3 linked regions of the Canis lupus familiaris genome follow. The protein of the gene in region 1 purifies or fractionates together with the protein of each later gene. This does not show direct contact. Links are inferred from orthologs where the notes say so. Each region holds a gene or a part of one and is shown in the gene's direction. Other genes may lie near its edges.

Region 1 (2,605 bases):
CAGAATATTACTTTGTTTTGGTTAAAGCTGTTTTCTTTTGGGTTAATATTTGTGATGAAAAAAAATCCATCTGACATAGAAAACAGAATCTTTCTCAGGAGACTATGAAGACTGTCACAGACTGCTTTCTGCCTAGGTGCTTTCTTCTAGACCTAAGATTTTCAGGAAGATTATTGCAAATTTTGCTGTTGTTTTAGTGACTACCATATGTCAATTTGTTATAGAATTTAAATGTGCCTGATTCATCTCTCCCTGCTGAAAGTGAAGCAACTGGCCCTGGCTTTGTTCCTCCATCTCTCGCTCCAATCAGGGGTCCATTGTTTCCGATGGATACAAGGGGCCCATTCATGAGAAGAGGTCCTCCTTTTCCTCCGCCTCCTCCAGGAAGCATGTATGGAGCTCCCCGAGATTATTTTCCACCAAGGGATTTCCCTGGCCCACCACATCCTCCATTTGCAAGTATGTTTTTCTTTTAAACTTAATATATGTTTTATAGAGTAAGTCAAAGATAGAATTCTATTTCTTATTCATATTGTACGTTTTTCTAGCTGTGAATATACCATTACTGTTACAAATTGGAAGGCAGCCAGCCATTAGTAGACCATAATATGGCTTCCACATTATTGATTCTAATGATATGGAATTACTTCTGTATTTCAGTAATCGGGAAAATCATTGGCTTTTTGCAGTAGTCTTCCATTAGGACCAAAATTATTTGTATCTTATTTGATTGGAAACTGGTTACTGTATCAGTTAATAAAAATAATTACAGCTTATATTTTAGCATTAAAACTACTGGCTGACGTATTTTTAAAATACTTTTTCATAAGTAGTTCCTATGTAATCCTACTTTTTTAAAACCTGAACTATGTTTATCATGTTTGGACTAATTGTTGAATTTATTGAAATTCTTTCATAGCCTCACATAAGAAAAAAAGAATGATTTTTTTGTTTTCTAGCTATATTTTGCCATTTAGAACTAGATGTTTCTGTAGAATAAATACATGGTTACCAAACACTAGGCAGAAGGCTATTATATGCCTGATGTGGTGTCTCTTCCTTCATTTCTCCTCTATTTTAAAGTTTAAGGTGAATTAAAATGAATTTGGGGGAATTTCAAGGTAGTCTTTGATAAACCTGTAAATGTCTTAGGATAATACCAAATTAGAATTGGGAATTACTGATCTGAATTTTAAGTCTGGTGAAAATTATACTACATGAAAAATTTAGAAAGTAAACCTCATATATTTTGGAATAATTCTCCTTTTTAAAAAGTGTTAAGATGTTAGGTTTTCATAGGATGAAAATTGTGTCTAAAATTAATGATATTCCCTTTAATCATAAGCAGTTGAAGAGAGTATGCTTTTTTTCTATGCTGTAAAAATTCATTTGTTTGATCAAGTAATTATACTGATGTCAGTTTTGGAATATAAAGATAGGTGTACTCTAAGTTATAAACTAATCGTTTGTTAGAACTGCAGTACAGGTACTTAAAGTTAAAAAATGTTTTTTACCAATCTCTTTGAACAGTGAGAAATGTCTATCCACCGAGAGGTTTTCCTCATTATCTTCCCCCAAGAGCTGGATTTTTTCCCCCACCCCCACATCCTGAAAGTAGAAGTGAGTTCCCATCAGGGTTGATACCACCTTCAAATGAACCTACTACTGAACATCCAGAACCACAACAAGAAACTTGACAATATTTTTGATCTCTCTTCGAAAGTAATTTTGACTTCTCTCTCATTTTCAGTTTAAGTAACTGCTGTTACTTAAGTAATTCTACTTTCGCTCAAATTGAAGCTTAATGGAATTATAATTCTCAGGATAGTATTTTGTAAATAAAGATGATTTAAATATGAATCTTACGAGTAAATTATTTCCATTTTATTTTATTGTAGATAGTATAATTATTTTAATTTGATTAACAAATCCACTATCACATAAATAACAATGGGAGTTTTATATATGTAATCTTGCAGTTGGGGATGTTTTAAACTCCGAAGGCTGTGTCTTTTTGCCAAGAGCTGTATCTACTATGGTTGTAGACAAATGTGAAAGTAACTTTATGCATAATTAAATAAATTTTAATTGACTTAAAGACTTGTTTGGTATTGATGATAATAATAAATCAGCTAGTTTTCTGTAAATATGTCTCCATTAGTTAGTTTTTTACTTTTCCCAATAGTTTTGAGGCTCAAAACTAAAGCTTTATCTGGGCTTTTCCCATTCGATTATCTTTCCAAGAGTGTGCCCTCTTTCTTGCAAGTGGAGATGAATGATCAAAAGCAACATTGATTTTATTTATTTATTTATTTATTTATTTATTTATTTATTTATTTGCAACATTGATTTTAAAGAAAACCAGGATATTGTTTAAATGGTAATTTTTCAGTTTCGATCTTTTTTAGTTCATTCGCTAGCTTTTCTGGCTTGCTTTTCTCTTAATTTGCAAGACATTTACTGTTTTTTAGTGGGGACTGTTGAAATTTACTACAGGAATACTGGATTTGGCCTCAATATCTTTAGAATGTTTTCTTCAGCCTAAGCTGTTTCCTCAAGTTTGTATTCTATTATCATTAGTCTTCTTGCACATTAGTATGATTAT
Region 2 (4,219 bases), on another chromosome or scaffold:
ATCCTGGAGACCCAGGATCGAATCCTACGCCGGGCTCCCGGTGCATGGAGCCTGCTTCTCCCTCTGCCTGTGTCTCTGCCTCTCTCTCTCTCTCTCTCTATGTGTGTGACTATCATAAATAAATAAAAATTAAAAAAAAATATTTAAAAAAACAGCCCACACCAAAGAGCCTTTAAAAACCCCTAGATTTAAACACCAAAATGGCAACCCTCTCGGGTCCCCTCCTTCTTTGGGAGCTCTGTACTATTGCTCAATAAACTTTGCTGCCCACCACTCTTCATTCTTCTAAGCGGTGTGATCAAGAACAGGAAGAAATCCTACAACATAGTGTCCTGCTGAGCAGACACTGGTTCTGTGGGTAGCTGAACCCACAAGAGGCCACAACTAAGCAAGGGGAGGGGGAGAGTCAAAGGGAACAGAGTGGCCAGGACAGTAGGTGCCACATACCTGAGGAGGGTGTGGGATCCATAAGGCCTGAGCACCTGAGCTGTGCCGAGGGCTCTGTGAGGCCCTTCACACAGTTGATTCAGTTTGGTAGGACAGATGATGGCATCCCCAAAGACGAAGCCACTGGGCCCCTTCCTCCCAGCGCACTTTAGGTTAATAAGCATGCTGACTCAGGCAGCCGGGGATGCAGCAGGAGGGGTCTCCTTGAAGGAATGGACATTCCTAGAGTACACTTGCAGAGAAACTTTAAGAGTCTTCATGTTGAAGATCAGAAACCCAAGGGTTTCCCTCAGGAAAGTGGGAATGCCAGGCAGAAAAGACACTTGCCCTGCCTGGGAGCCAAGCTGCCTCCCTCTGAGGGTGTCGGCAGGGAGCAGCCTCCACTCCCAAACCCCTGAGTGCAAGGGCAGTGTGCAGAGCTGCAAGACTGGCCCAGTCTCACATCTGCCAACCACAGACCATAGATGTTTTGCTATGTAAATAGAGGCCTCCTCAAACTAGCAATCAGTGGATTGAGGATTTGAAGCCAGTTTTGAAGTCCACACTGCCTCCATTAAAAGGGAAAAGACACAGTTCATGTTCCTAAATGTTGGATTTCCAAGGTGTGTCGCAGCCCTTAACCAAGGATTCTTTTTTTTTAAGATTTTTATTTTTAAGTCATCCAACCTGAGGCTCAAATCTCTAATCCTGGGCTCAAGAGTGACATGCTCTACCAAATGAGCCAGCCAAGAGCCCCCACGGATTTCTTCACTTAAAGGTTCATCAGCCTCCCTTCGTTGTCATTAGCTCCCTTCCTTCGCCTCCCGCGGAAGGCCCGAGCCCCGCCCCTTGGAGGCGGCGTATGCCGCTCCTCCCCGCGCAAACATGGCGGGGGCTGACGTCACAAGGGGGACGGAATCCTGGGGCGGGCGCTCCAACAGCGGCCCGCTAGTGCTGACGCGTATCGGCGGCCCTGCGCCTGCGCACGGAGAGCGCGGGCTAGGCGCGCGTGCGCACTGCGCGACAGCCCGAACTGGCTGGTTGGGGGGGCGGAGAGACTGATCCCCGAGTGTCGTTTTGGCAAGTCTCTGGGTTGGAGTTTTGGCAACTCCGAGGGGTGTGGGAGAGGAGCTGGGGATCCTCCTGGCGGCCACCGGACCAGGTTAAATAGCGGCCGGGACAGTGGTCGAAAGCCGGGCGCGGCATGTCCCTGGTGCCGCGGTGCTTAGAGTGAAGCGCGTGGCGATCAGGATGGGCCGGCGCCGGGCGCCAGAGCTGTACCGGGCCCCGTTCCCGTTGTACGCGCTTCAGGTCGACCCCAGCACGGGGCTGCTCATTGCTGCAGGAGGAGGAGGCGCTGCCAAGACGGGCATAAAGAATGGCGTGGTGAGAGCTCAGGGTCACGGGGGCCGGGTCACGCCATGGGCGATGGTGGTAGGTGGTCTCGGGGATGGCCGCGCCTCGAGCTTCAGACCTTGCCCCTCCCGGGTGGGAAGGCCCGGGATTTTCCGGCGCCTAGCGCGAATTTCAGCTGAGAACTTACCAGGAACTCCAAAGTTAGACTAAAAACAGTACACAGCGCCGCTTAAGCAGGAACTTAGGGTTCACCTGAACCTCAGGAGCAGCTCCAGGGGCCATCTCCTGATCTTTTCTGGGGAGGCCGCAAAGACTTGTCCCGCTGCTCTCCAGCAGCGGCAAGAGTGCTGCCTTTTGCCTTTAGGCTAGGTTTCCTCACTCCTCTGAGGGTCACTCTGTTATTTTGTAAACTGGAGGTATTAATCCCCACCCTGCCTGCTGTACAAATTTGTGCGGTTTGAAAGAAAAAAAGGGAAAGCAGCAAGCAGGCTGGAAAAAAAACTTTTTAAAGTAGAAAGTGCGGTAACCAAAGGGGTAGGGCGTTAGACTATAGGATGTAAGCTCGCCCTTGGCAAACTTGAGGTGCTCTCCGGGCAGCCCTGAACTTTGTTCATCCTGGTTCCCTCTTCCACAGCACTTTCTACAGCTAGAGCAGATTAATGGGCGCCTTAGTGCCTCCTTGCTACACTCCCATGACACAGAGACACGGGCTACCATGAACTTGGCTCTGGCTGGTAACATCCTTGCTGCAGGGCAGGATGCCCACTGTCAGCTCCTGCGCTTCCAGACCCACCAGCAGAAGGGCAAAACCAAGGTAGAGAAGGCAGGTGAGAAGCTCCCTCATTAGCTTTGGGGAAAGGATTGAATGCATAAGGTCATTTACTTTGGTTTCTAAAAAAGTGGGGCTGGAAGTGGGTTATGGTAGCAGGCAAGAAGCTGGATGTTCACTACTAGGGAAGGGGTCGGTACTACTTACTATAGGAGCCTGGAACCTGGCAGGCTCTTTTTATTGCAGGTTCCAAGGAGCAGGGGCCTCGACAGAGGAAGGGGGCAGCCCCAGTAGAGAAGAAGCCTGGAGCTGAAACCCACCAGGAGGGGATAGAGCTGAGCGTAGAGAATTTGAAAGCCGTGCAGACAGACTTCAGCCCTGATCCGTTTCAGAAAGTTGTATGCTTCAACCACGATAACACACTGCTTGCCACTGGAGGGACAGATGGCTACGTTCGTATCTGGAAGGTGTGGTTTCGGGGATTAGGGAATCAGTGGTTGGTACCAGCAAGGCCAGAATTGTGAGAAACTAAACATGGGTTCTGGGAAACAATGTGAGCAAAGCCTGCACTGAGTGGCAGAAAAAAGGAGGGGTAGGGGATGCTTGCACTCTTACCAGATACCTGGGGTAACCATGGTGATGGTTTGGCTGCAGGTACCCAGCCTAGAGAAAGTTCTGGAGTTCAGAGCCCACGAAGGAGAGATTGAGGACCTGGCTTTGGGGCCTGATGGCAAGGTGAGGAAGTGAGAAGGTGGAGAAAGTAGGGGATTATGCTGCTTGTCCCATAAGTGGATCCCCTAACTGTCCATCCTTGGAATCTTGATTCCTGACTAGTTGGTAACTGTGGGCTGGGACCTTAAGGCCTCCGTGTGGCAGAAGGATCAGCTGGTGACACAGCTGCACTGGCAAGAGAATGGACCCACCTTTTCTAACACGCCTTACCGCTACCAGGCCTGCAGGTGTGAGACCCCAGAGGGTAGCTAAAAGAGGCACAGCCTAGATGTGGTGGGGGAGTGGAAAAAGACTGGGGGGAAGCTGGGAAGGATTGTAGCCTTGGTGGCTTGGCAGGGGATAGGAGGGCACAAACCTCTGGGAAGGGCTGGGCTGGCCCTGGGAACTGAACAGCTTCTCCCCCGGCCCCCAGGTTTGGGCACGTTCCAGACCAACCTACCAGGCTGCGACTCTTCACGGTACAGATTCCCCACAAGCGTCTGCGCCAGCCCCCACCCTGCTACCTCACAGCCTGGGATGGCTCCACCTTCTTGCCCCTTCGCACCAAGTCCTGTGGTCATGAAGTCATCTCCTGCCTTAGTGTCAGGTGTGAGACAGTGGTGGCTTGACCGGTTGCGGGGTGCCTGGGGGAGCTCGGGAAGGTGTCTGGTCTGAGGCTCTGAAGACCACTCTTCGTGAATGTTGCCGCACAGGCCTCCAGAACAGTGAACACTTTATTGTTTGTTGCAGTGAATCAGGCACCTTCCTAGGCCTGGGCACAGTCACCGGCTCTGTTGCCATCTACATAGCTTTCTCTCTCCAGGTAATGGGTAGAGGTGGTCATGGCCCTGAGGGCTCTTTGGGGTGGGGACTGTAGGCCTGCTTCAATCTAAGCAGGAAGGAGACCCAACTCATAGAGGGAAAGCCATCTGAGGATAGGGAGCATGTTTTCCAGAA
Region 3 (4,196 bases), on another chromosome or scaffold:
CGGGTCGCAGCCCGGGGGCGAGGGCGCGCGGGTCGGAGCAGGGGGGCTTGGGTCCGAGGGCGCGCGGGGGTGCGGGTCGGAGGGCGGGGGCAGGGCACGTAGGGCTCGCGGGGGCGCGGGTCGAGGGCGCGCGGGGACGCTGGTGGAGCAGGGGGGCGCGGGTACCGAGGGCGCGCGGGGCCGCGGGTCGGGGGAGGCGCGGGTCGGGGCGCGGGTGGGAGCGCGCCCCCCTTCCCTCCCCTGTCCCCTTCCCTCCCCTCTCCCCTCCCCTCTCTCCTCCCCTCTCCCCTCCCCTCTCCCCTCCCCTCTCCCCTCCCCTCTCCCCTCCCCGGAGCCCCCGGGCCGCCGCCGAGGCGGTGCTGACGTGTCTGCGGGGCCCGCCGCGCCCTCCCGCGCCCCGCCCCGCCGCGCCCCGCCCCCGGCCCCGCCCGCCGCGCCCGCCCGGCCTCGCCTCCGCCTCCGCCTCCGCCTCCGCCTCGGCCTCGGCGCCGCCGGCTCCCCGCGGTGACCACAACATGGCTGCGGCGCCGGGGCTGCTCCTCTGGCTGCTGCTGCTCGGGCCGCCGTGGCGGGTGCGGGGCCAGGCGCGGGCGGACGCGAGCCGGCGCTTCGCGGAGCACAAAGTGTGCGCGGACGAGGAGTGCAGCAGTGAGCGGCGGGCGGGGGGGGGGGCGCGGGCGCGGGGGGCGCAGGCCGGCCGGGCCGGGATGGGCGCCGCGGGCCCTGCCGGGGGCTGCGCCTCCACTTGTTGCGGGGGCTTCCCTCCCTCCGCTGGCCCGGCGGGGCGGGGGCGGGGGCGGCGGCCCGGCCCCGAGGGGAGACCGGGCGGTTGGGGTGCGCGCCGCGCGCTGGGCTCCGCGGGGCGGTGGGTCGGGCGCAGCCTGCGGGCCGCGGGGCGCTCGGGGAGGGCGCGGGCGCGGGCGCTGCCCCCTCTGCCCTCCCGCTGCCCTCGGTTGGGGGCTCGCAGCGCCTTTGGACGGGGTCGGAGCTTGGGTCTGGGACGAGCCGGGAGCCCGAGGTCCCCGCCTCGCTCCTGTCGGTCTGTGCCGGGAGGGCTCCTGGCGGCCGCCGGGCGGGGAGGGCCCCTCAGGAGGCCCAAAGCTGAGGCTCTCGGAAGAGGCCGAGAACCCGCAGAGGCCACCTGGGCCCGGCAGCCTCCTCCGCTTGGCGCAGGAAGCGGAATCGCGCCCCGGCCCTAGACCGCGGGTGGGGGATGGACCGAGGGCGGTGAGCGGGACAGACGGCTCCGGAGCCCCACGGACCGGATTCGGGGAGCGACCGCGAGGGGCACTCGGGGGGCCCCTGAGCCCCGCCGGCCTTGGCCTTGGTGCCTCGCGGTGCTGGGACCCCTGCCTCTGTGTCTGCGGGACCGGGATCGGTCTTAGGGCCCCGCGGAGGGTCTTGAGTGACCTTGTACCTTGACGGTGAGCGCGCGGGAGCGTTCCTAAGTGGCCGCCGGTGCACCTCGCAGACTGCTCCTGCGGGAGAGGCCCTACAGCCTATGGAGTTTGGCTTATTCATATTCAAATTGGTGCTATTCGAGAACAGATTTCATAGTTGGAAGAGTTTGTATCCCGGCAACACGCCGTGCACGGGAAGCGAGGAGGCATCTGATCCGTGTGAAGCCATTCCTAGAGGTAACCTAGGGCAAAGACGCACGACCAAAGTGGAGCGTCTTCCACGCCTTTTCCCCCTCGGGCTTCTCTGAGCAAATCCCGATTTTTAGCAGGCAGGGTTGAGACATGTTTGCTCTTCTTTGCCTTCAAGCGCTCCCCTCCTTGGGTTCCTCAAAGGAGGAACCAGTTACCTGGAGGATCCCATCCTTGATGCTTCCCCAGTACCGGTACCGAGACATGGTCCTGAGAAGGCCCTTGCTTGTCACAGGAGTTGGGGAAGGAGAAGTGTCCAAACAGATAAAACCCAAACCCGACAGGCGGCAGCCCAGCAGGGCCCGGGACTGTGCTTTTGCATAAAGTATCCAGTGAGGGGTATGTGTGTGGGTGTGAGCTGTCCTTGTGTGCTTTTCAGAGAGTTGTTCCAACAGCGGGCAGTGTTGTCATCTAATTTATTGTTACAGTTTTTCAGTGATCTCTTCTAAGGGGGAAACAAAAGCAGCATTGCCATTTCCAGTTCTGATAGCATCCCGGGTCTTAAATTGTCCATCATCTTCAACCTGGCCTTTTCCCCAATTACATCTGAATTAGGATGCTGACATGTATTAAAGTCATCTGATTTTAGCTTGAAAAATCCAAAAAACTGTCCGCCAGTCTGTCTGTTCATCCCTCAAATATGTACCTGAAATACATTTTAATGTACTTATGGCTGACTGGCTTTAAGAAGAAATGTACTTTCAATGTCACCCTTATTTTCTCTCTTATTTAATTGTATCTATTGTCCGTTTCATGTTATATCAGAAACTGTGTGTTTGGCCAACAGAGAAATGCTGCTTCCCCTAGTTTCTAGATCAAGTGTGATATAAGTCCTGCATTTTAAGACTGAAGGTAACTACTGAACAATTCTCCTAGTTTTGCTTGTCCCTGCAACACGTGATGCCCACATGTGATTTTGTGTATAAACATAAAAAAAGGGGATCTTTCCTTCGTTTTGAAACCTTCATAGTGTTGGGGACAGTGAACATTATCTGCTTTCATAATAATTTCACATTACCCTGTCGTATGATTGGATAATCATATGTGATTATCACTATTCATCACTAATAGGATGTGATGTCCTTTCCCGTTAATTTATCCAGATAACTATACAGGGAAGAAGGCCACAGCGTGGCCTCAAATGAAGTTGACAGTGTTTACTGCTGCATGGTAGCAGTTATAGCCACTTAAAGATAGTGCCTTTTAGTGTTAGTTGAAGTTAATTGACCCCTTGGGGGTTCCTGGGTGCTCTCCCCAGTTCCCTGTTGCCTCTTCATGCGGCCATGCTTAAGCCAGCCAGCATCTGCTCTTGAATTTATCCAATTGCACCGTGAACCTTTTTATGATTATGGAACAGCAGAGATTGTGGACAAGAAGGTTAGAGAGAGAACCAAGAGTTTCTCCTGAGACCAGCTCCAGCTACGTGTAGTGGTGGACTCATTGCTTTTGGTTTATCCATAGAGAAATACAGGCAAAGTGGCCATCTCCCCTGTCTACTTGTAGGGGACAATATATAATGATAAAGCTCTAAAGATTTTAGATACTTGGAGCATATGAATCGAAAGCGATTGATTCCAGAGAGTACTGGAGAAACTTGGTTGTTGTTTATAGAGTAGAGGAAACCCTCCTCTTTCCTGAAAAATCAATATGGACTGTGAAAGTAGAATCCTGATACCTGTTTTTCTCCCCCCTCCTTCTTTACCTGCAGTGTTAATGTACCGAGGTGAGGCTCTAGAAGATTTTATAGGCCCAGATTGTCGTTTCGTGAGTTTTAAAAAAGGTGATGCTGTGTATGTCTACTATAAACTGGCAGGGAGACCGCCTGAAGTTTGGGCCGGAAGTGTAAGTACAAATTTGACACACTTTATCTTCTTATTTGTATTGGCTTGTTTAGTGCTGTAGGTGGAACTGTTTTCCTGGGTTCTTTGATGGCGACATCTTCCTGTGTCCCCAGCAGGCATCAGGCCTGGAACCAGGTAGAGGCTCTGCTCGGTTCCTTAAACAAAACAGAATGGCTCGGGGTTGATTCTTCTCAGTATTAAGTTCAGGCCTTACCAGCCGTGTATGCTCCATACATAGGAAAGGTGGTAGTGGCAAAACCTGAAAATCCTGGACTTTGTTGCTTCACAACAGAAGGGCTCGTGAGCATTCGAGGTCCTCCTCTCAACTTTGTGCAGGACAACGTTTCAAGTGTTCACGTGTAAAGTTCATTGTATATGTATTTTTTTCTAAACTATTAATATTTGTGAAAGGTTGGCAGCTCTGCAAACAGTTACCTAATCATAGGTACTGTTATTAGTCTGTTAAAAAAGCAAAATGTCCTTTTCACTGTGTGTTTTTTTGTTTCCTTGTTTGGGTTGTAACTTCTGGGTCATCCTTTTCCTGCTCTCAGGCCCTTGCTCCTGGAGACTCCCTGAGCTGCTCTCTTTCAGTTTTATGGGTGGCCTGATGGTGGACATGGAAACTGATGATCCTCAGGCTCTGATTTTTTATTTTTTAAAGATTTTATTTATTTGACAGAGAGAGAAAGAGAGAGCATAAGCAGAG

Evidence for each region. The genes of interacting proteins can lie anywhere in the genome.
Region 2: the proteins of MIA2 (region 1) and PREB purify together in Homo sapiens (affinity purification with western blotting; 3 studies listed by BioGRID and IntAct, with this or other methods). This does not show direct contact. The link is inferred for Canis lupus familiaris from reciprocal best matches to the Homo sapiens genes MIA2 and PREB.
Region 3: the proteins of MIA2 (region 1) and MIA3 purify together in Homo sapiens (affinity purification with western blotting; 6 studies listed by BioGRID and IntAct, counting the BioPlex papers as one, with this or other methods). This does not show direct contact. The link is inferred for Canis lupus familiaris from reciprocal best matches to the Homo sapiens genes MIA2 and MIA3.

Annotation. Positions count from the first base shown.
Region 1 is NC_049229.1:17,648,508-17,651,112, forward strand, and holds the end of MIA2 (melanoma inhibitory activity protein 2), read left to right. Parts: intron 1-224; coding exon 225-459; intron 460-1,530; coding exon 1,531-1,697; 3' UTR 1,698-2,098; downstream 2,099-2,605. UniProt on the Homo sapiens protein: Plays a role in the transport of cargos that are too large to fit into COPII-coated vesicles and require specific mechanisms to be incorporated into membrane-bound carriers and exported from the endoplasmic reticulum.
Region 2 is NC_049238.1:21,182,879-21,187,097, reverse strand, and holds the start of PREB (prolactin regulatory element-binding protein), read left to right. Parts: upstream 1-1,419; 5' UTR 1,420-1,677; coding exon 1,678-1,812; exon of another isoform or gene 1,813-2,416; coding exon 2,417-2,609; exon of another isoform or gene 2,610-2,797; coding exon 2,798-3,018; exon of another isoform or gene 3,019-3,205; coding exon 3,206-3,286; exon of another isoform or gene 3,287-3,385; coding exon 3,386-3,510; exon of another isoform or gene 3,511-3,695; coding exon 3,696-3,869; exon of another isoform or gene 3,870-4,012; coding exon 4,013-4,085; exon of another isoform or gene 4,086-4,219.
Region 3 is NC_049259.1:17,574,165-17,578,360, forward strand, and holds the start of MIA3 (transport and Golgi organization protein 1 homolog), read left to right. Parts: upstream 1-1,396; 5' UTR 1,397-1,501; coding exon 1,502-1,637; intron 1,638-3,357; coding exon 3,358-3,491; intron 3,492-4,196.